2 linked regions of the Elephas maximus indicus genome follow. The protein of the gene in region 2 interacts with the protein of the main gene of each other region in a pairwise test. Links are inferred from orthologs where the notes say so. Each region holds a gene or a part of one and is shown on either strand. Other genes may lie near its edges. The genes, in order: leukocyte-associated immunoglobulin-like receptor 1 and PTPN6.

What was found.
Region 1: the proteins of PTPN6 (region 2) and leukocyte-associated immunoglobulin-like receptor 1 interact in binary tests that used the Homo sapiens proteins (3 or more experiments, as listed by UniProt). The link is inferred for Elephas maximus indicus from reciprocal best matches to the Homo sapiens genes PTPN6 and LAIR1.

Annotation. Positions count from the first base shown.
Region 1 is NC_064829.1:92,514,762-92,527,177, reverse strand, and holds the start of leukocyte-associated immunoglobulin-like receptor 1, read right to left. Parts: upstream 5,001-12,416; 5' UTR 4,923-5,000; coding exon 4,889-4,922; intron 3,702-4,888; coding exon 3,666-3,701; intron 1,142-3,665; coding exon 857-1,141; intron 1-856. UniProt on the Homo sapiens protein: Functions as an inhibitory receptor that plays a constitutive negative regulatory role on cytolytic function of natural killer (NK) cells, B-cells and T-cells.
Region 2 is NC_064822.1:63,738,229-63,750,327, reverse strand, and holds the start of PTPN6 (tyrosine-protein phosphatase non-receptor type 6), read right to left. Parts: upstream 5,548-12,099; 5' UTR 5,247-5,547; coding exon 5,233-5,246; intron 1-5,232. Other genes in the region: C4H12orf57 (protein C10), read right to left, coding at 6,051-6,202, 6,987-7,163, 7,462-7,513; ATN1 (atrophin-1), read right to left, coding at 9,267-9,300, 9,484-9,664, 10,007-10,150, 11,034-11,730. UniProt on the Homo sapiens protein: Tyrosine phosphatase enzyme that plays important roles in controlling immune signaling pathways and fundamental physiological processes such as hematopoiesis.

The sequences.
Region 1 (12,416 bases), on a different chromosome or scaffold from region 2:
CACCCCCTTTGCACCTCCATCATGAGTTGTCTGGTCGTTTCCCCAACCTCAGTCCCATGTCCAGGGTGGTGGTATTCTGACCCTGGTCCTATCACTTCCTGTGAGACTCAAAGATCTGAGCCCAGGTAGGTGAGATCAAGGGCAAAAGACACAGGTAGGGAAGGTGGCAGAAGAGCAGACACTTGCTCCAACATTCTTGACCTCATAGAATCAGCATGGAGGCCCTGGGACCACATGCATTGGGTTGGAGCCTCCTCACTGGACCTTGACTCTAGGACCTCACCAGGGTCTGAGCACACACAAGGCAGTGCCTGTCTCACCCCATAGGTTCCCCCAAAGGACTGTCTACCCCTAGTCTACAGGCCATCTCTGGACAGTGTGGATCCGTTCAATGGGAGGGATGGACCACATCACAGGACAACATATTGCCTGAGGTCACAGTGCTTCTGGATCAATTTAAGGGACTATTTAACATGCCATCCCGGGCAAAAAGATGCACGTTCCTTTGAAGGGAATCCATCCTGCAACCATTCTATGGACAGAGGAACCAGAGGGGGCTGGGAATCCACTTGCCAGCCCATCGAGCAGTGTCCAACACTGTCCACCTTTTGATGCTGGAGTTGAATATCCAGGTATTCCACTGTGTCCACACGAGACACAAGTCTCCATGAACCTCAGCGGTGTCTGAAGTCAGAGGGGACAGGTGTACTGAGGGAGCCAGACAGGTGTGGGAGGAGAGGTTGGAGGAGGGTGGGGGTCTGCGGAGAGATGGTGGAGCTGGGGACAGGACCCAGGACCTGGGTACAAACATGAGGAAAGAGTCTGAGAGGGGTAGGGGCTCTGGATGCCTCCTCACCTGTCACCACCAGCTCCAGGAACTCACTGCGCTCAGAATAGGTATTCCCTGTAAAATAAAGGCAGTTATAACGCCCTGCAGTGTCTGTCGTCACTGAGTTGATGCGGAACCTAGCCTCTTTCTCAGTCCCAGAAGAGAGCTTCACATCTTGGTATGAGTTACTTTTACTCTTCTCCAGTCGGAATGCCTCAGCCCCACGAGGGCTCTGGCACACGAAGGTCACAGGCGTTCCCCAGCGGATCATAGAGCCTGGCTCGGCTGAGATGGAGGGTCTAGGCAGGCTCCCTAGGAAGGAATCAGAGCAAACACCTCAGAGTCCACTCGTGAGGAAATCACCATTCCATAAAATTCCCCCATTTTTTGCTGTACGATGCACTTGCTTTAGTAAATTTACAGAGTTGTGCGACCATCACCACAATTCAAGCTTAGAACATTTCCATCGTCCCCAAAAGACTCCTCACATCCATTTTAATTCTCATCACTGACGAAGTGTTTTCTCTACTTGACAATAAAGAGAGAGAGACTTGGTCACACCTTGGGTCTTTCTCATGCCACTCAGGAAGTATGTGTGTCCCAAAACCACACCAGATCCCACACGTCTCTGCAGAGCCCAGCTCTGTCCCTGCTCATGGCCACATTCCAGGGAATGAAGAGACAGCAGGGGGAGGCAAAGAATGGGGATGGCCAGGATGTTCATGGAGACATCTAAGGGAAGGAGGAGTCTGGGGTTGGCAGGAATGAGTCTGGGGCTGGGGCCAGTCCTCACTGGGATTGTGTGAGGTGTAGGGCCGGGGGCCTGCAAAGCTCTTATAGGCACCCAAGGAGAGGTATGGGTAACACGCCCAGCACAGGCGTGGTTCCCAGTGGACACCCAGCAAAAGAAGGCTCCCTGTTTCTAACGCAAATCTTCTGTTGAGCAATCATATCTGGGTTTTCCTGTGTATTTTCTACATCCATCTGAGCCTTATTTCCATTTCCTCCTTATTAAGCTTCTTGAAAAATCTTGGCCTCTCTCAACTTGGCTGACAAGGGTAGCGGAGAGAGGGGTTTGAAGCCCAGATACAAGAACGTTGCATTGAAGTTAGCAAAATCGGGTGGGAATGAGTCAGGATGGGCCTTGGCCCCATGACTTGGGTTGGTGGAGTTTCCATTCATGTATTCATTCCTTCGCTTATTCATTCATTCACTCACGTTCTCACTTCATTCATTTCATTCACTCATTCCTTCACTCACTCATTCTCTGATTCATTCATTCACTCACTCATTCATTCACCCACCCACTCATTCATTCCTTCAACTAAATACTAGTTCCTTCCCTCTCTGAGCTTATATATTCTTTGCATGTACCACTAATTCCACAATTATGAGAAGGTCAGGTATCATCCCAGCCCTCTTAGAGCTAAAAGCCTAGGAAGCAGGACAGACACTGATCAGTAATTGTCCAAATTTACACTACAAACTGTGACAAGTGTCCTCATGGGTGAGTCCAGGTATTGAGAGAGCCAACTGAAGGGAGCACTGACTCTTCTCTGAGGGTCTTTAAGCTGAGACCTGAGGGATGAGTTATCTCTGCTGAGCAGATAGGGGGTAGAAGAGAAGTCAGTGTACGAGAAAGTCATGCAGCGCAAACATGGGGTGTTTGAAAACCTGAAGGAAAGCCAGGGTGCCTGGAGATAAGTGAGGTGGTAGCATGGGGGCCAGGTGTGCCTGAGAAAATAGAGGTCAGATAAAAGAGAGTATGATTCTATCTGAAGATAAACCCTGGGAGGACTTCAAGGAAACATAAAATTTTGCCTTACAATTAAAAAAAAATTTTAACTGAAAAAATAAATAAAATGAAATAAAAATAAGTGAAAAATAAAATTTAAAGAAATAATGAAAAATATAAAATAAGTGAACATTTTTTACATAAAATAATTTGTTGTGAATTAAAACGATCATGGTAGTGCTTTTAAAATGCAAATAGCCACTGCTTTGGTGTGGAGAGGGAGTGGTAGAAAAGATAGCATGGGTAGATAGTGGAGGCAGGCCCACAGAGGGGTGGGGGGAATAGCGGCCATGTAACTGAGAGATGGAAGTGGCTTGGATGCAGTTGGGGAGAGAGTGTGCAAGAAGACTTGAGAAAAATGTAGGCGGTAAATCAACATTCTTTGGTGATATACAACATGTAGAAGTGTGAAGACGGGATCTAGGATGAATTCTCAGATTCTGCCTTTTGGGACTGTAATATTCCCTGTAAAGAGGATGCATAGGGAGGTCTTGGCTTGTATGGAGGAGTTCATGGCCAACTTTGAGCATGTTCAATCTGAATTGGTTTTGCTGCATTAAGTGGAGCTTCTAAGAAGATGTAGTCTCTGGTTGTTGCAAATGGTTAAGCACTTGGCCACTAACTGAAAGGTTAGTGGTTCGAATACACCCAGAGGCACCTCAAAAGAAAGCCCTGGTCATTTACTTCCAAAGAATCAGCCGTTGAAAACCCTATGGAGCACAGCTCTACTCTGACACACATTGAGTCGCCATCATGAACTGGTGTCAACTACTGTCGCTATGAGTCAGAATCGACTCAACGGCAATGGCTTTGGTTTTTTTCAGTTAGATAGCAAATGTTTTTCTGTTTTTGTTTTCTTAATAAGAAGACAGATGGAGAACAGTAAAGCGAACTGGGCTAGGGTCATACATGTGGAGTCATTTGCAATTTGGGGTATATCTAAGGGTCTCCCCCCAGTCCCTTCCTGAGTCAGCATCACTCTTACCCAACAGTTGCCCTTGGAGTGGAGAGGGAGCTGGGAAGTTTAAAGACATGACTCACCATTGTGTGCTTGGATCTCTGGTCCCAGACAGAGCACTGGAAGAGAAGGCCCAGTGAGAAAAATGCCTACCACCCTATATCCTAACAGGGATATTACCAAGGGAAGGCTTTGATGGGGGAAGAGGGGATTTGTCATCATTGTTATTGTTAGTTACTGTCCATTCCTTTCAGACTCATGGCAACCTCATGTGTGCAGAGTAAAACTACTCCACAGAGTTTTCAAGGCTGTGACCTTTCTGAAGCAGATCAACAGGCTCATCTTCCAAGTCCTGCTGGGTGGTTTCGAACTGCGAACCTTTCAGCTAGTAGCGGAGCACAAACCATTTGCACCACTATCTTAGTCATCTAGTGCTGCTATAACAGAAATATCACAAGTGGATGGCATTAACAAAGAGAAGTTTATTTCCTCACAGTAAAGTAGGCTAAAAGTTCAAATTCAGGGTATCAGCTCCAGGGGCAGTCTTTCTCTCTCGGTGGGCCTCCTCATCAGTGTTCCCCTGGACTAGGAGCTTCTCCATGAAGGGACCCCAGGTCCAAAGGAGGCGCTCTGCTCCCTGCAGTGCTTTCTTGGTGGTATGAGGTCTCCCCTCTCTGCTCACTTCTTTTTCTTTTTATCTCTTGTAAGATAAAAGGTGGTGCAGGCCACACCCGAGGAAACTCCCTTTACTTTGGCTTAGGGGTGTGACCTTAGTAAGGGTGTTAAACAATCCCACCCTAATTCTCTTTGGCATAAAATTACAATCACAAAATGGAGCACAACTACACAATACTGGGAATCACAGCCTAACCAAGTTGACACATATTTTGGAGGGACACAATTCAATCCATGACAACCATCCAGGGACCTGAAAGGGAATTTAGCCACCCATAATTTCCAAACCGGCCCTTTCCAACATTAGTCTGACTATATATATAACCCTTCTTCCTGCTCTGAAATAGTTTCAAGACAAATCCCCAAGCCCCCCCTTTCCAAATACATTAGTCTAGCCCTTCTTAAGTCTGAACTCGTCCCCACCCCCAATACTGGGTTCTGAGATGAAGCCTTCTGTGGTCAGACCTAGACCTGAAAGAGAGTTGAGTGCACAGACCCATGCAGAGGAGAGCTTTTCTTGCCCAGGTCCTAGAGTTTCCCAGATGGAGTCAGTACTGAGCAAGGAACTGGACTCCCGACACAGACTGGACTCCCCCATCCTCTAATTCTCCCTCCTCGGTCCCAGACTCACCAAGGCCCAGGAAAGTGGTGGGTGTAAGAGACATCACACAGTCCCGGAAGCCTGGCCTGCCCTGGAGCAGATGGAGATGGGCAGAGGCCTGAAGCAGACACAGCAAACAGGATGTATTTCTGGGGCTCTGCTTTGAGATTTCTATAGCAACAGCCTCCCAAAAAGAGGAAGAGTATTTTTTTCCCTCAGTACTTTGCACTCTTCTCACCCTTCCCCCCGAAAGGACAGGGTCGGAGGCTGTGGAACAACTTGGCTGCTGAAAAATATTTCATATTCAAATGCTTGTGCGAGACTGAATTTATTTCTAGATCAAATCCCCTACACGTTAACGCAAAATCTATGGGGCCAGGCTGAACACAGGTTATTAATCAAACTGACTTGAACGTCAGTCCCAACTCCACGAACTAATTACCATCTGTTCTTGGGCAAGACGTGATGCTATTTTAAGTCTCCAGTTCCTCATATTAAAAACGGGAAACATAAAACCCTCCTCCAAGTATTTAATAGTGTTGTCGTTAGTTGCCATTAAGTCGATTCCAACTCATGATGACCCATTTGTGCAGTGTAGAACTGTCCTTCGTAGGTTTTCAAGGCCTTGATCTTTTGGAGTTAAATCACCAGGCCTGTCTTCTGATGCACATTTGTGTGAGTTTAAACCACTAACCTTTTAGCTAATAGTCAAGTGCTTAACCATTTTCCCTACCCAAGGCCCTGAGCCAGGTATTTAGCACATCAAATATGTCAAACTGGTGGAAACAATAGAGACATCCACCAACAGATGAATGGATAAACAAAATGCGGTATATACACACAATAGAATACTACCCAGCCATACAGAGAAATGAAGTCCTGATGCATGCCACAAGATAGAGGAACCTTGAAGACATTTGCTAAGTGAGATAAGTCAACCGCAAAAGGACAACTACTACATGATCTCACTTATGTGAAACAGGCGCTTATATAGAAACCACAGATTACCGGTGTTTACCAGAAGTAGGAAGGAGGGGAAAATGGGAAGTTTTTGCTTAGGGGGTCACTGAGTTTATGTAAATGATGGTGGAATAACTCAGAAAAGGATAGTGATAATAGTTGCACAATATGAAGAATGTAATTAATGTCACTGAATTTTACATGTAGAAATTTTCGAATTGTCCTATGTTTTGGTGTGTATATTTTCACCACACACACACATACACACAAATATTAATGGGAGGTGAAAGCCTCAGAGTCAAACCAAGCTCTGAACCTGGCTCTCATCTTGAGGGCAATGAATCCAGTTTTGTTTTCATGGCCTTGTATGTTATAGGGGGCAAAAGATAAAACCCAGGGGTCGCCCCAGTTAAGGAGTCTAGGGACCCATTCCCTTAGTTAAGCCAGCTTCCAAAAGCTTCCACTTTGTAGTGAGAATGATTGAAATTACTCTCCAACTTTCGAGGGCTACAAGGAACACATCTGTTTTTGAAACTTAGCATTAAGAAAACCAAAAAACCAAACCAGCTTCCTTTGAATGAATTCCAACTCATGGCGACCCCATGTGAATCAGGGTGGAACTGCTCCATAGGGGTTTCAAGGCTGTGACGTTTCAGCACGAAATTGTCAGACCTTTCTTATGAGACGTCTCTCTGACCTGGACTAGAACCTCCAGCCTTTCAGTTAGTAGTCAAGATCTTAACCAGTTGCGCCACCCAGGGACTCCTTACCACAAAGCAAGAACTAAAAAGTTTCTTCCTGAAAATAAATCACTAATACCAGCCAGTCTTATGTATTTCTGTTTGTCTGGTCTTTTTCATTGTATATGTCCTTGTCTTTATCACCTAGTGCCGCTGTAACAGAAATACCACAAGTGGATGGCTTTAACAAAGAGAAGTTTGTTCTCTCACAGTCCAGTAGGCTAGAAGTCTGAACTCAGGGCGCTGGGTCCAGGGGAAGCCTTTCTCTCTCTGTCGGCTCTGGAGGAAGGTTCGTGTAATGCATCAGTCTTCCCTTGGTCTAGGAGTTTCTCAGGCTCAGGGACCCTGGGTCCAAAGGAAGAACTCTGATCCTGGCACTGCTTTCTTGGCGGTATGAGGTCTCTGAGTCTCTGTTTGCTTCCCTTTCCTTTTACGTCTTGTAAGATAAGATAAAAGGTGGTGCAGTCCACACCACAGGAAACTCCCTTTACATTGGCTCAAGGGTGTGACCTGAGCAAGGGTGTTACATCCCACTGTAAACATCTTTAACCGCAGTCAGAGATCATGATTTATAACACATAGGAAAATCACACAATGGAGGACAACCACATAATACTGGGAATCATGGCCTAATCAAGTTGACACATATTCTGGGGCAAGACAATTCAATCCATGACAGTCCTTCTGTGGGTTTCTTTCCCTCTCTTTTGCTGTCTGTCTTTCTCAATCCCCTCTCTACCTCTGGGTATTGCTTCGTCCCCTTTCTCTGCTTTCCCACCTCTAGTGGCTTTATGTCTCCATTCCTTACAAAGCTAGTCTTTGGTCCATTTATGGTTAGATCCATCCCCCAAGCTGTGCCTAATGTCAAGGAAGTGATCGTGACACCACCTTTCCTAAGCTCCTTTGTAAACTAGCAGAGTGGGGAGAAGAGTGGAGCCAGGCTATTTTCCCACGTTCTAACACACTCAAGACCTAGACAACGGTTTCTGTCCCATGGCTCCAGTTTCTGTCAGGCATAATTCTGAGTTTTATATGGTGACCTCTCCCAATGGGTTCAAGTAGCATTGCCTGCTCCCTATGGACCTCCACCTCCCTACACTTGCTAATCTCAATTTGCATCCCTCTCCCCTGTTCTGCTTCTCAGTTCTTTCACTTGATGCAGTGAGATGGCTCACTTTTGTGCAGTCTTTCTAGCCATGGTCTTGTAACCCCCACCCAAGTGACTGGGTGGGGCTATGTGATAGGTAATAGTAGCCCACCAAAGGGATTGGTTAGTTTTGCCACCCTACTGGGCTTGAAATGAGCCACCCTAGAGGTGGGAGAGAGAGGATCCTACCACACCAAGGAAGAACAGCCAGGATCCAGCACACCCTTTGGACACTGAATTGCCCTGCTGAAAAGTTCCTGGAATCAGGAGACAGAGAGCTGTAACTCTAAAGACAGAAGACTCGGCACAGACACTCAACAGCAGAGGCCAGCAGCAGGAGACAACATGGTGGGATTCCTGGCCCACAGAGAGAGAAACCTGAGTGCCTTTGGTAAGAGGCAGAGGGCCCAGGGGAGGTGTTTCTCCTAGCACAGCTGGGAAGAGGCTATCCTGATGGGAATAACTGTATCCTGAGTGTTACTGAGCCTGAATTATAAGTGTTACTTCCCTAATAAACCTCATAATTGTGAGTATTGTCTGTGAGTTCTGGGTGGCCATTGCAATGAGTTATCAAACCCAACAGAGAAGTACAGAGTGCTATGGGAGGGAAAATTGGGGTTTAAATTAGTAAAGATGGCAGGGAGAGGAGGCATGTCTGACCTCTGCATCATAGGAATCAGCTTTGGGCTATTGATCTTGATTCTCCTTCCCCCTTGTGAAGTTAGAGGAGGTCAGACTCTGCTCCTGTGCCATTTCTACACTTGGACAATGGCTTCTATGCATTAAATCATCCTCATCTCTTTATGGAAGACCTTCATCAGTAAATATTTTTAATGGGATAAATATACTTGGCCATTTCAACAATCATCACATGTACAGTTCAGTGACATTATGCTCATCGTGTTGTTCAACCATCATCCTTATTCGTTCCCATATTATACCATCACCCTTAACAGAAGCTCAGTGTACCCCAAGCATTGTGTTTTCCTCCCTCCTCCCCCAGACATTAATAAATTTTAATCACCTTTATTGAAGAATAATTTATAAACATTCAACTGCATCCATTTAATATATACAATTCAATTATTTTCGACAGTTCCCTAAAACCACCATCAAATTCAAGATTTCTATCACTGGCAAAAGATTCATTACGCTTCTTTGCCTTCTGACAACTACTGGTTATTTTTTCTTTTTGTAAAATACTTACTTGTTTGCTAAACAATTTTTTAAAATAAACTTCTTATCTGGGAATAATTTTAGATTTGCAAAGTTTCAGACAGTTCCCATATACCCTTCATCGAACTTTCCCTAATGTTAACATCTTACACACTGTGGTACGCTTGTCAAAACCAAGAAATTAATGTTGGTTTATTAATAAACCAACGAAGCCTAAGTTTATTTAATTAATGAAACTGCAGGCTTTATGTGAATTTCACTAGTTTTTCCACTAATCTTCTTTTCCTGTTCCAGGATCCAATTCAGGGTACCATATTACATTTAGCTCCTCCTCTTTTAAATACATAGAAAAGTTTTCTGTTTTCCTGGTTAGACTGATGGGTGCTGTCACCAAACCTGAATACTGTATGCCAAGTGAGGATCTGGGGACAGGCTTTCTGCTGACCACATAAAAAAGGAATAGTGAAAGCATTCACATCTATAGGTTCCTCCACAAACCAAGGCCATATGGTTCATTAGAGCAGTTATTGCAGATTTTTCCTTAAGGAGATTAATGTGAAGCTGTCACTCTTCACTATTCTCAGAAGACCCCTCTACCTTTACATTCTTCTAAGACTTTTGTCCCCAAAGTGGAGTACACTTGTATCCAAGGCTTCTTAGAGGTGTAAGGAGAAAGCACCTCACCACAGGGTAAGCATGGCACATTTTCCTCAAACAATTTTACTTGGATCAACAAAGATACAGAAAATCTAAGGGCAGCAATCAACCAAATTAACCTCATAGACATATATAGAACACTCCACCCAATGGCAGTAAAGTACACATCCTTTTCCAACACACTTGGAATGTTCTCCAGAATAGACCACATCTTAGGTCACAAAGCAGCCCTCAACAAAATCTGGAACACTGAGATAACACAAAGTGTCTTTTCTGATCACAACACTATCAAAGTAGAAATTAATAACAGGAAGAACAAGGAAAAAAATGAGATACATGGAAACTGAATAAAGCCCTTCTTAAAAACCACTGGATAATAGAAGAAATCAAAGATGGAATCAAAAAGTTCCTAGAATCAAATGAGAATGAAAACACATCATACCGTGTCTTTAGGACACAGCAAAGGCAGTGCTCAGAAGTCAACTTATAGCAATAGATACGCACACCAAAAAAGAAGAAAGGGACAAAATCAAAACATTAGCTACACAACTCAAACCAACAGAAAGAGAACAGCAAAAGAAGCCCACAGCCACCAAAAGAAAGGAAATAATAAAGATCAGAGCAGAAATAAATGAAAGAGAGAACAGAAAAACAATGGAAAGAATCAACAAAACTACAAGTTGGTTCTTTGAAAGTATCAACAAAATTGACAAACTTCTTCATTGCAAATACCTTTTTTCACCAAAATAAATGGAGACTACACACGTGGACCTCACCAGATGGAATACACAGGAACCAAATAGACTACATTTGTGGAAAGAGACCACGGAAAAGTTCAATATCATCAGTCAGAACAAGGCCAGGAGCCAACTGCGGAACAGACCATCAATTATTCATATGCAAGTTAAAGTTGAAACTGAAAAAAAATTAGAACAAGACCACAAGAGCCAAAGTATGACCTTGAATATATTTCACGTGAATTTAGAGACCATCTCAAGCATAGATTTGATGTACTGAACACAAATGACCAAAGACCAGACAAATTGTGGCATTACATCAAAAACATCATACATGAAGAAAGCGAGAAGTCATTAAAAGACAGGAGAGAAAGAAAGGACCTAAACAGATGTCATAAAAAACTCTGAACATCAAGTAGCTAAAGCAAAAGAACAAAATGACGAAGTAAAAGAGTTGAGCAGAAGATTTCAAAGGCAAGCTCAAGAAGACAAAGTAAAATATTTTGATGACATGTGCAAAGACTAGGAGATAGAAAACCAAAAGGGAAGAACACACTTAACATTTCTCAAGCTGAAAGAACTGAAGAAAAAATTCAAGCCTTGAGTTGCAATACTGAAGCATCCTACAGGGAAAATATTAAATGATGCAGGAAGCATCAAAATAAGATGGAAGGAATACACAGAGTCACTATAGTAAAAAAATTGGTGGACGTTCAACCACTTCAGGAGGTAACATATGATCAGGAACTGATGGTACTGAAGGAAGAAGTCCAAGCTGCGCTGAAGGCATTGGCGAGAAACAAATCTCCAGGAATTGACGGAATACCAATTGAGATGTTTCAACAAATAGATGCAGTGCTGGAAGTGCTCACTCATCTGTGCCAAGAAATTTGGAAGACAGCTACCTGGCCAACCAAATAGGAAAAAAAAAAAAAAATAGAAGAGATCCTTATTTATGCCTATTCCCAAGAAAGGTGATCCAACTGAATGTGGAAATTATCAAGCAATATCATTAATGTCATTTGCAAGCAAAATTTTGCCGAGGATCATTCAAAAGCAGCTGCAGCAGTATATTGACAGGGAATTGCCAGAAATTCAAGCCAAATTTAGAAGAGGACTTGGAACCAGGGATATCATTGCTGATGTCAAATGGAGCCTGGCTGAAACACAGAATACCAGAAGGGTGTTGACCTGTGTTTTATTGACTATGCAAAGGCATTAGACTGTGTGGATCATAACAAATTATGGATAACATTGTGAAGAATGGGAATTTTAGAACACTTAATTGTGCTCTTGAGAAACCTGTACATGGATCAAGAGGCAATTGTTCAAATGGAACAAGGGGATACTGCATGGTTTAATGTCAGGAAAAGTGTTCGTCAGAGTTGTATCTTTTCACTGTAACAATTCAATCTGTATGCTGAGCAAATGATCTGAAGCTGGACTATATGAAGAAGAACAGGGCATCAGGTTTGGAGGAAGGCTCATTAACAATCTGTGTTATGCAGATGACACAACGTTCCTTGCTGAAATTGAGGAGGACTTAAAGCACTTATTGATGAAGATCAAAGACTACAGCCTTCGTTATGGATTGTACCTCAACAAAAGGAAACGAAAATCCTCATAACTGGACCAATAAGCAACATCAGATAAACGGAGAAAAGTTTGAGGTTGTCAAGGATTTCGTTTTGCTTGGACCCACTATCAACACCCACGGAAACAGCAGTCAAGAAATCAAAAGACGCGTTGCATTGGGAAAATCAGCTGCAAGAGATCTCTTTAAAGTATTAAAAAGCACTTCTAAGCAAAAATGTTGCCTTGAGGATTAAGGTGTGTCTGACCTAAGCCATGGTGTTTTCAATCACCTCGTAAGCATGCAAAAGTTGGACCATGAATAAGGAAGACCAAAGAAGAATTGACACCTTTGAACTGTGGTGTTAACAAAGAATATTGAATATGCCACAGGCTGCCAAAAGAATGAACAAATCCGTCTTGGAAGAAGTACAACCAGAATGCTCCTTGGCAACAAGGATGGCAAGACTGAGTCCCACGTACTTTGGACATGTTGTCAGGAGGCAGCATTTCCTGTAGAAGGACATCATGCTTGGTAAAATAGAGGGTCAGCGAAAAAGAGGAAGCCC
Region 2 (12,099 bases):
AACTGCGGGAGTAAGATGTGGCAAGTAGCCTTCTGTAAAGATTTACAGCCTTGGAAACCAAATCATGTGGGGCAATTCTACTCAGCCGTATAGGGTCGCTTTGAGTTGGAATTGATCGGACAGCAATGGGTTTAGCTTTTTTTTTTTTACTATACCGGCTTACAAATGGGTTCTGTTCCTGTCTGTCTTTAAGTCAAATTTGTATAAAAGTCGGAACAATTAGATATGGTTCGTATCTAATGTCAAAGGTTTGTCTTAGTATATAGCACGTAGTGTACCTTTCGATACATAAAAAAACATTAAAGAAACACTTCCAGATATACTAAAACATCTTTCACATAATAAATAATAATAATGTTTTGACTTGTGATGCAAAGTGCCCATTTGTAGTTATGAACCATTTTATGTACCTTAAATTTTTAATACAATGGGCTTTATAGGGGTCGTTGGTTCCTAACTACAGGTTGTACAACCCAGGACTGCCTATATGCTAGGCACTGAGCTATAGTGTTGTACACATGCCTTATCTGATGTAATCCTCACAATTGTGCTGTGAAACAGGTACTGTCTTTATCCCCCTTTTACAGGTAATGAACCTGAGGTTTAGGAAGTTTAGTAGCTTGCCCAAAGCCATCCAGTTAGTAAGTGGCAGTACTGGGATTCAAACCCAGTCTGTCCGGTTCCAAAGTCAATGATTTTAAGTACTTTATCCCAGCCCTCAGGGATTCCAAGTACAAAGGTTGAGAAACTCCTTGTTTATCAGGGCTGCAATGAGACGGGGCAGGCTCTACTAGCCAAGGGCTTGCAGATGCTTATAAGCAGGACAGCTGCCCTCCTCTACTATGGCAGAGGGATGGACCAAATGACCCCTCATCAGCCCTGTCAAACTCAAGCTTTTTTTTCTTGTCCCTGGACCTTTTCCCTGACCCTCACCATGTAGGCTGATCCAAGAAACAGAATGGGAAGGGACACAGATCTCGTGGAGCAGGTCAGGGACACAGCCAGACAGCTTCCCCTCCCCTCCAACCTATGCCAAAGCCACAGGTTTTCTCTGGGCAGGTCTGGTCTGAATCAACCAGAGCTCAGGGCTCCCAGGACTCTGACCAGGTGGCCTGTCTCCTGGGGGCTGGGGACTGGGGGCTGAGGGGCTGAGGTCCTTGATACGGCTGATAGTCTCAGAGCTGGTTGACCTTTAGAGGCCCTAAATACTAAAAGCTTATGATGCTGTCTGTATGTAATTCAAAACACCAAGACCACCAAACCAAAACAAGAGGAAAGAAGCCTAACAAAGGATGCACATATTGGTGGCTTCCTCTAGGAAAGGAAACTGGGTGGCTGGAGAATAGGCCTGGGAGGGACATGTTGCCATGTTAGCTGTCATTACCTCAGCTCATGGCAGCCCCATGGGCAATGGGATCGGACCATTGTGATCCACAGGGTTTTCACTGGCTGATTTCGGAAGGAAACACCAGGACTTTTTCATAGTCCATCTTAGTCTGGAAGTTCCGCTGAAACCTGTTCAGCATCATAGCAACACGCAAGTCTCCACAAACACACGAGTGGAGGCTGCGCATGAGATACACTGGCTGCGAATCAAACCCAGGTCTCCGGCATGGAGAATTCTGCCACTGAACCACCTCTGTCTCCAAGAGACACTTGCTTCTCCCTAATACCTTTTTCAATGTTACACTATGGACATATATTACCTTTATAAAAATAAATAAATTGACTAGGAGACAGCAATTTCTGGGAAGCTTCTTGGGCACTGAGGGTGCATTTTGAACTGGGTAGTGTTTACAAGAGCATGTATAAATGTTAAGTTCATGAAACCGTATACTTAATATTTACGCACATTATATATGTCATGCCTCAACACAAACTAACAAGAAAATAAATAACAAACTTTTAAAAAACCGAAAAAAAACCCAAACCTGTTGCTGTCAAGTCGGTCCTGACTCATAGAGATCCTATAGGACAGAGTAGAACTGTCCCATACAGTTTCTAAGGAGCACCTGGTGAATTCGAACTGCCAACCTTTAGGTTAGCAGCCGTAGCTCTTGACCACTATGCCACCAGGGCTTCCACAGAGTTTTAAAGCCCAACAAAAGTCTAATTTTCCAGTGACAACTACTTTGATCATTTTTTGAAGCTTCCAAAAAAAAGCTTTCCCTCCCCACCCCCCACACCCTGCTTTGTGTGTGTGTTCCCCTCTTTCTTATGTCCTGGGAACTTCTTGGTCTGTCTATGGTGTAGTTCAACACTGACCACCCCTGCAGTTTCATACAGCGACCCACGGGGCAGGAAAAGCATGTGCAGCCCCCACTGTGCTGAGGCCGACTTGTCCCTCAGAATGCCCAAAGCCTAGCACAATACTGGTACAGAGTCAATGTCCAATAAACAAACTCATCATACACATGTACGTACATTGTCACAAGTACAGCCTTCTGGTCCTACACACACACACACATCCTGCTTGTCATATACAGATGAGTACACACACACACATAAGCACACCACTTATGCATAAACGGTCCCACTACGTGCATCTTATTGTCCGTGTCTATCCACACACACACACCTGATCTGGCGCGAATACCCACACACGGACACACAGTCCTCACTACACACGAAGTTCCAGGTCCATGTTCAGAACCAAACACCCGCTGCACCCTGGCCATAAACCACTCTCCTTCTGGGGCTTAAACCCACTTGGTGGGAAGGAAACCCACCAAGGTTGAGGCACCCCAAAACTCCTGACCCATCCAAGAGGCAGGAATTTCTCTGAAGGGTCCCAAGCCAAAAGACAGACTCAAACAAGATGTATGGTCCCTGCTGCCCCTTGGCAGGAAAATAAAAAATAATAACGACCTTGGCATAGTGTTCTAGAATTGCAGAGCACACACACATTCTCCTTTGGGCCTCAGACAGCCCTGTGATGTAGGAATTATTTTCCCCACTTTTTAAAACGAGGGTACAGGCTCAGGGAGACTGAGAGTTAGAAAAGCAAAAAAAAAAAAAAAAAAATTTAAGTGCGTGGTAATTCAGAAGAGAAAATTACCCCTTTGGGAAGTAGGGAGATAAAGATAGAGATCAGGAAGACAGGCAGTCTGGAAGAGCAAACAAGGTGAAATAGCCTCTAGAAAGTTAGTTAACTTCTCCGAGCCTCTGTATCCCCACCTCGAAGATGGGCTTAACAGCATTTCCCAAATACTTAAAGAGCTGATATGTAGTAGGGTTTTAGTGCCAACAGATTTTACATTATATCATTAATCCTCATGCCAACCCTATTTTGTTGTTGTTGTTGTTGCCAGCTGCTGCCAAGTTGGTCCCCAACTCATGGCAACCCCACGCACAGCCATTCAGACCATCGTGATCCGCAGGGTTCTCACTGGCTGATTTTCCGAAGTAGGTCACCAGGCCTTTCTTCCTAGAACATCTTCGTCTGGAAGCTCCGTGGAAACCTGCTGAGCATCCCAGCAACACGCAAGCCTCCACTGACAGATGGGCGCTGGCTGTGCATGAGACGCGTGGGCCTGGAATCGAATCTGGGTCTCCCTCATGGAAGGATAGAATTCTACCACTGAACCACCGCTGGCCTCCCAACTCTACTTAGCATTATTAGTCTATTTTTAGAAACAAAAACTGAGAGGAAGGTTAAGGAACTTGCCCAAGGTCACAAGCTACTGAGTAGGAAGGCAGACAAACCAGAGCCTTGCCCCTTCTACCACACCAACCATGCTGCTGCAGAAGGCTTCAGCGGGCAGGTGGGGTGGGCACCGAACAGCCATTATGGAGGAGAGGTGAGCAGGCACTGCACCAGGGGCAGCATCTGCGAAGCCACAGAGGTGGCCTGCATAGGACCCACTTGAGGAGCAGGGCTGGGGTGTGAGTGGAGCAGGGCGGCCAGAGCAAAGCTGTTCTGAGAGTCTGGACCCAGTTACGGAGGGTTTTACAAGGCCAGGCTGAGGAACCAAGGAAGGATTCTGCACAGGTGGAGGCCTTGCCAAGCCACTTTAGGGAAATGACGTGGCGGGGTATGGAAGGGATCAAGGGCCAGAAGACTCAGTAAGAACCCAGTCAGTGGAGCTGACTGTGACAAGGGCGTGCACTGGGGGAGGCAGCATAGAGAAAGGAAGGGGCAGATGTGTGAGTGTGGGAAGCAACAATCAGCAGGACTTGAGGGCCAACCAACCCACAAACTCACCAACACTCTCTAAACAGGTTTTCACTTAAAATAACCATGCTTCAACAAGGCCTAACCTGCCCTGGCCCTGCCTCCCTTCCCACTAGCTGACTCTGCTTCAGGCATACTGCCCTTTTTTTGCTTGTTTTTTCCCTCTTCAGGCCCTTTGTGCTTGCCATGCCCTCTGTCAGGAATATTAGACCCTTGATCACCACATGGCTGGATCTTCCTTACCATCCAGGCCTCAGCTCAAATGCCACCTCCTTAGAAAAGCCCTCCCTGATTATTCCAGCTAGTAATGCCCCTGGCCCCCCTGGCACTTACTCTCATATGAAGCTGTTTCATTTTCTGCATAACATTTATGAATATCTGAAATGATTCTATTTATTGGGTTGGTTGGTCTGCAACTTCACACTAAAATGTAAGCTCCATGAGAGCAGGGACTGTTTTTGCCTTATTTACTGCAGTATTCCCAGCACCTTAAACAGTACCTAGCACATAATCTCACTCATAGCCACCCTATAGGGCTTCCAAGGAGCAGCTGGTGGATTTGAACTGCCAAACTTTTGGTTAGCAGCCTGAGCTCATAACAGATGCTCAATATTTATTTGTTGAATGAATGATGAGGGGGCAGTTAAGGGAACCAAACCTAGAGACTAGGAAGCGCAGGGGGGGAGCTGAGTGGACGGGGGAGAGCTTTCTCAGGTTTGCCTTTCAGAAATGTCATGCTTGAGGTGATGTGGGTTACCTAGGGGCGGTAGATCCTAAGCAGGAGGCAGAAGCAGGGGACCAGAGGCTAGAGGTGGAAATGTGAGACAGTGAGAATAGACCATACCTCTGTCAGGCATAAAGTATAATAAAAAAGGCAGGGGGCAGAGGAGCATGAATGAGCATGCGGGTCCGTGCACCTTGGGGAGATGAAGGGTATGTAGGAACAGGAAGCTGACCCAGTCAGGCTCATGGTCACATAGCCTGTCAGGAATGAGCATGAAACCCTCCCTCCCAAACTAACAGGAGCCTGTGGGACCCAGGTGGGGCAGGGGACTTACCCACGGGACAGCATCTCCCAGGAAAGTTTGGGGGAGTAACAGGCAGAGAGCCGCAGGGGGTGGGGCCAAGCCAGGGCCACAGCAGAGCACAGTGACCCAGGCCAGGTGAGGAAGAATACTCAGAACTCAGCTACCTCCTCCTCAAACCAGGTTGCCAGGCCAATGGCACCGCAGGGACAAGCCCCTGGACTTAAAGATCCTGGAGCAGGGACAGGTGGGGCGGGGTTAGCCTCAGGCAGCCCACAGCAGCCCACTTCCCACTTCCCCCTCTAGTCCCGCTCAGTGGTCCAGTCCCAGTCGTCCAGCAGGCCTGTCAGCCTGTCCAGGGCCTCCTTCCCTTTGAGGGGAGGAGCCACCCAGAGCTCCACCTGGCAGAGCAGTGGGAGGGCAGATGGGGCAAAGACCAGGAAGTAGCCCTGGCTAAGGGAAAACCGACCAATGTGGGTACCAAGGGGCCTAAGTAAAAGCCCTGGAAGCCCAATGCCTTAGAGGAGGCACCACCATGCAGGCCCTTCCACCCACCTACCCACCCACCCAGTGTGTCGAAGGGCCAGCCCACCCTCTTACCCTTCCTTGGGTGGGGAGAAGTGAGGAGCCTGGTGCAGGGCTGGGCCCAGCAGGGAGCATAGGAAAGATCTGGAAAGGGAGAGGTGGGGCAGCCTGGACTGGTGAGGGAATCTGGAGACAGGAGGTGGGGGGCTGTTAAGGTATCAAAAGACTGACACTAAGGCCAAGTCACAGGCACATTTATTATCCTCTGGGAAGCTAAGGTCTTCCACTCCCTTATCAGCACAGGGCACAGGGGAGGGCCAAGCCCCTCAGGAGGCAGCCACGCTGCCACCGGGAGCAGGCCCATGGGGTGGCAGCGTCATCGGCGGCAGGAACAGAGCCTTCAGCTTGCCTGAGAGGCTGGCAATCTCAGGATCCTGGGCTTCGTAGGACTTCACCAAGCGGGCAAACTTAAGGACACCTACAAGGGGGAGTGGAGAGTCAACCCCACACCCTGGTGACTGGCATACCCAAGATGGTGGGAGGAGTATGCGGATGGGATATGAGTCACTGGCTGCTCCCCAACTGGCCAGGTAGCTGTCTGCGAAACAGGACACAGGCTGGCCTCTCTCCGGTGTGGCCTGGATCAACCACTTCCTGGTCCACGCTGAGCACAGCTGGATAGGAATACAGTGACTGAAAAATATCCGAAGCAGTGTGCATCTCACTCTCAGGTGAGCCATTTTAGCAGTTTAGTCACAAGAATCCAAAGTATAAATACCCAAGAGGTCCAAGGTCCAAGGTCCAAGGTCTACAACGGGGCACAGGAGGGCTGCGACGCAGCGTGACTTCACCAAGGAAATTTCACCACCAACCCCCAAACAGAGATTACCGTTTCAACACCTTGGAGGCGCTGCAGAGCTAGCTCTCGTGATGCAGCCTTCTCACTAAAACGCTAGCAGAACTGGGTTCAAATCTAGCTCTGCTGTGACCCTGGCCACTTTACTATTGGACTCTGTCTCTCATCTTAAAATAGGATATTAGAGTGATTAAGAAGGATATTAGAGTGATTAACGGTAACTACAAAATGCTCCTGTAGGAATTCGCCTGGCACAAGTTCAGGGTAGACCCTGCGCCCTGAGTGCCAATGCTGTTAGTCAGATTGTGGCTGCCGCCGTGTGGCAACAAGGGGAACCACAGTTCAGGGGCCCAGCCGATCCAGCGCCCTCTCCCCGACCCACCTTGACGCCGCCCGTCCAACCCACCTTCCCCGTCGCAGCTGAAGCCATAGGCTTTGATGACCTCCTGCTGGATCTGCGTAGCCACGGGCAGAACAAATTGCAGCATCTTGCCCATGTCGTTGCACGCGTTGTCCCGAGCTTCGTCCATGCGCACGGCATTCTCCGGGGCCGAGAACGCCTGGATGACCTCGGCCAACACCACTGCGCCCCAGAGGCACCCCAGGAAGGTGTACCGTGGTAGGCGTCGGAGCACCACCAGCGAGCCCGGTCGAGAGCCCAGGGAAAGGGACAGAGAATTAGGGGACTAAGCCGTTGGTAACCCGATAAATCCGGTCCCGGAATCCTTCGCTCCAGGGCGCAAGGACCCCAGTTAACAGAAGGACAGTAATGGTACGCGGGGACCCCCCACACCGGTCGACTGCAGCCATTGCCCTCCCTATCCTCGGCCGTATCCTCCCCCGGCAGACAGCCCACCCCGGGGATTAGGGATGCTTCTCACCCTTGGCCTGTTCGGCGCTCAGGGCCGCGGGTTGGGCCGAGGCAGACGCCATATAGAACTAAAAAACCGCACGTGCTGCGAAGCCGCGGGAATGCTCCCCAAGAAAAAGCCACCTCCTACAGCTGCTCGTAAGGCCGGTGGGGGGCGGATGGGAAGCAGCATCAGCCGCAGCCGGAAGCCGCTACCGCGTAGTTTTAATGGCCCAGTTCGCGAATCTTCCAGGAAAACTAAATAACCAGAACGGGTTTTATATCTTAACGCAACAGGACTAACAAAAACCACACACACACCCGAATAAACCTAAGTCTATTGTTGAAAATAACACATAAGGAGGGTCTTCCAGAAAAACTAGAAGACCTACTAGACAAATTCTAAAAGAGCTGTAACACTGAAGAAATATGTCTTGGAGAGAACGTGGGATATCCTTGGACTCCACTATAGCTGAGGGTGAGCTGACTGCGGAGTTTTTTGAATAGTCAGTAATGTCTAAGCAGCGGAGCCCACTAGCTTTCAATAGAAAAAACAATATTCTAAGGAACTAACTTCAATTATTCATTTCTAGAGTTTGTGAACATTTGTTACGAGCCTATGCAAATGAGCGCGGTGTTGATTGGCTGAAACAGCAGCCAGCCACACACCCCCCCCTTAGTTTTTAAGAACGAAGCCTGTGATTCGCAGCAATAAACGCTGGGAGCAAGCGCATCTCTTGTGCTTTCCTAAAATGGCCTTGTTCAGGGGTGGGCGCTGCAGCGTAACGCCCTTATTTCCCCTCCAGCCCTTTGAAAGTGTCACCCACTCCTTCAAAACCGAAGGGTAATTAGAGTTCTAATCACATTGACCTACTTGAAACTACGCCCACATCCACTTCATAACTGTCTCAAACTATTCCACAGAAAGGATCCAGCTCTGAAACCCTTGTTCCAGAGGACTCTGGTGGCCCCTAGTTGTGGAACAGTGGCAGGAACACCCCCAAGGGTTAAGGGTAGTTCCTTAGACAGGACCATGTCACAGGCGGGCCTGTTGCAGGCCTGTTAACAGCTCAACTTCCCCAGCCTTGGAAGGCGTGCAGTGGCAGCACCCCAGGTGGGGCATGGCGCTCCTGCCCAGTATAACCATCCTTCTTCCAAGATCCCCTCTCCAGCTCTGCAGGCTCCCTACACCCAGTTCCTTCCCCAGGTCCTGTCCCTCCCATTTCTCCAATCTCAGGTTCCACAGCTTTTTCTCTGGGCATTGCTGCGCAGAGACCCCCACCCCACCCCACAGCCCGCAAAGAAAGAGTCGTAGCCATCTTCCGGGGGAGACGTGAGGATGTTTGTTTGGTTTTGGTTGGGATGTTTTTTAAAGAGCATCATATAGATATTTATATATATAAATTATTAATGTGGAAGAGGGGGATGGGCATACATCGCAGGGGGTGCGCACACAGGGATTTGGGGGAGGTGGCAGGGGCGGCACACGATGCTACGCAAAACAGCCACATCTAACAGATGAAATAATCACACCAACGGGGTGGGGGAGGGGGCGATGGCCACCAAGGTCTGGGCTTGAGGAAGGAGGAAAGCTGGGGTACAAGGAAGAGGGACCTGGTCCAAGATACTGTGCGCTTCTGCTCCACCCTCCCCACCTCCCCACCTTCCCACACCAGCCTTGGCCTTCTGTCTGTCCCTTCCTCTTCCCAACTGCCCAGCTGCCAAGGCCCTGCAACTGAGCAGTTTTCTCTCCTGGGTTCTTTGTGGCAGGCTGAGGGGGGGGGGGGCTCCAAGGTCCAGATGCAGGGGCCATGGCTGCTCTCTTGGTTGCAGGTTCTACAGCGGCTTGTCGCTTTCCTTCTTCAGGTGACTAGGAGGAGAGGGCATGTCCAGAGCCAAGATGAGCCTGAGGTCAGTCCTGACCTGGCCCCTCTCACAGATGCGGGTGGGGCGTTCTTTTTCCAGGAGCCTAGAGCCCTACTATCCCATGCCCAAGCCCCATCCCAGGCTGGCAGAATCCACTTCCCCACTCCTGGCCCAGGGTACCCCATACCTGTAGTAGTCCTCCTGAGCGGGCAGTGGCACGCTGTGCAGGGGGTGATGGGCGTGCAGCCACTGCTGCTGCTCCAGTGCCAGGCGCTGCAGCTCAGCAGACTGTGCGTGCATGGCCTGCAGCTGGTGAGCTGCTGACATGGGGGCAGAGAGGGAGGCCGGCAGGTCCCGGTAGGGGGCAGCTGTGGGCAAGAAGCACATGACTGATAGGTACTGAGCACCCACTATGGGCCAGGGGACAGCCAGTCACTTTACATACAGAGGAAACCGAGACTAAGAATTTAGGTAACACACCTAGTCTTGCAAGTTGTCAGTGGTAGGAGCCAGGATGCAAACCTCTGTAGCCCAGCATGAAAACATATGCCTGCTGAGACAGGGCCTCAGCTCTCCTACTCCCATTCCCAGCTTCTCTGGGCACTTCCTCATCCCTCCCAAAGCCCAGCTAGGTCGATCCTACTACTCAAATTCCTTCTTTCTGCCCTTCCCTCGTTAAAAGCCTCCCTGCTCCCAACCTCTATCCTTACCAAAGAGCTGGTGACGAAGAACTTCATTCTCGTGCAGAGGATGAGGAAGAAGGGGGTTGGGGAGGGTCCCAGCTGGGTAGGGGATCCGGGTAAGGTGAGACCCTGAAGCCAGGGGATCAATGAGAGGATGCACCGAGGCAGAGGCTAGAGGGCAAAGAAGAAGGTGTCATCAGAAGGCAGGCTTGGGAAGACTATACATTTAGATGAAGGGAAACCTGGGAAGAGAAATGGGCAGTGAAACAGGGAGATCCAGAACGGAATAGAAGGCAGAATGAAAGAACTAGGGGGGTCGGAAGGTGGACAGGACTAGACCCCACTGAAGTATATGGATGAGAGAACACAGGAAATTATAGTTGCCAGAGGGGTCTGAGCAAAAGGAAGGAAAGAATCAGCCTGCTTAGAGGAAATGAGGAAGGATAAATGGAAGTTTAAACAATGAGACAGAAAGACAAAGGAGGTTAAGAGAGAAGGCACAAGGGAGCCTAGGATGAACACAGCTGTAAGGCTATGCAAAGCAAAGTTCTGGACAATAAGAAATATGGTGAAAGGACAGTAAGTAAAGCTCATTATCACCTATAACATCCAAAGCCAAAGCTGTGGGGTTCTTTCTGGAAGATAACAGATCTAGAGGTGGGGAGGAATGTGAAAGACCTCCATCTGGAAGGGGACGAGAAGATTGCAAGAAAGAGTGGCAGACACAATAGAGTTGAAAATGGAGGAACAAGAAAACAGGTAAGTGAAGGGCTTGGGGAAAGGAGCTGTAAGGGTAGAAGGGTGGTGTTCCTTCACGGAGCTCCAGCTTGGGCCTCTATCATGAGTGGGATGCTAGACTAAGGAGAGGCCCGGAGTGTGGGGCATATAGGCTCTGCAGCTAGGCTAGGGCATGAGAAGACAGGCTGGGAGGATGAGAGGAGGCAGCAATTGCAGGAAAAAGGCTCATGTCAGGCGAAGGTCTCGCCTGAGAAACAGAAGAACCTGGTCACCTGCCAGGGTAAAGAGGCTAGGGCAGGAAGATGGGGGGTCTCACCTGCATGGATGGCATCCTGCTGGTGCAGATGTAGGTGCGAGTGGATGTGGGAGTGCTGGTGGTGATGGGGGGTCACGTTGAGCATCTGCAGCCGGGCCAGCGGGTCATTGCCCAGGGCTGCCACCCTTTCTGCATGCTGCCTCTCAGCTGCCAGCCGCTCGGCATAAGACATGTCGGGCCGCAGGGCTGGCCCAGCAGCTAGTGCTAGACGTTCTCGTTCTAGGGGCCCCAGGCTTGGATGAAAGGGGAAAGGGTGCAAGCCAGGTGGGCCAGGCTGCAGGGCTAGGCCCCCATGTCGGGGGAAGGGATCAAGGCCTGGCCCAGGGACCCCGTGCAGGGGTTCCAGCTCACTGGGCTTCACCTCAAAGCCAGGCTTGAGGCGGTCACGAAGGTCTCGCTCACGGGCTTCCCGCTCTCTTTCCCGGGCAGCTGGGTCACTGCTGTACAGGGCTGGGACATTGTAACCCAGGAGTCCTGGGTCCACTGCCCCCAGGGGCACATAAAATGGGTGGTTGCGATTGCCAGGAGACATTACATGGGGCCGGGCATATTCGCTGAGGGTGCGCAGGGCTGGAGTGTCGGGACCCAGGTAGGGGGGCACTGTAGCAACAGCACTGCCTGGCTCAAATGGAGGGCGATGGGGCACTGGGCCCAGAGATGGACACTCCACTGGAGCACGGCCCTCCTGCGCCAACTTCTGTGGGACACACGGAGAAATGCAATCAAAAAGGCAATTCTGGAAAGTAGCTAGTTCTTAGCTGCCCATTTGTCTCAGCAGCTGATTACCAAAATGCCTCACAACACCAGCACTATGACTACCAGGAACTTCTCTGCCCCCCTGGATAGCTGCCCTTCCTGAGACCCACAGGTAGTCCCACCTGACCTTGCCTTCCCCCAAACCATTAATGCAAAAAGATTCCTTCAGCTGGAATCCTTTTGGTCTCTATTTCGAGTTGTAGTGATCCCTCCTCTCCGACAGGTGGCGACACCACTCCCCCACCCTTTGAGCCAGCCTCCCTGGGCAGCGCAAAGGAGGGAAAGAAGGCGGGTGGCGCATCTTGTGACG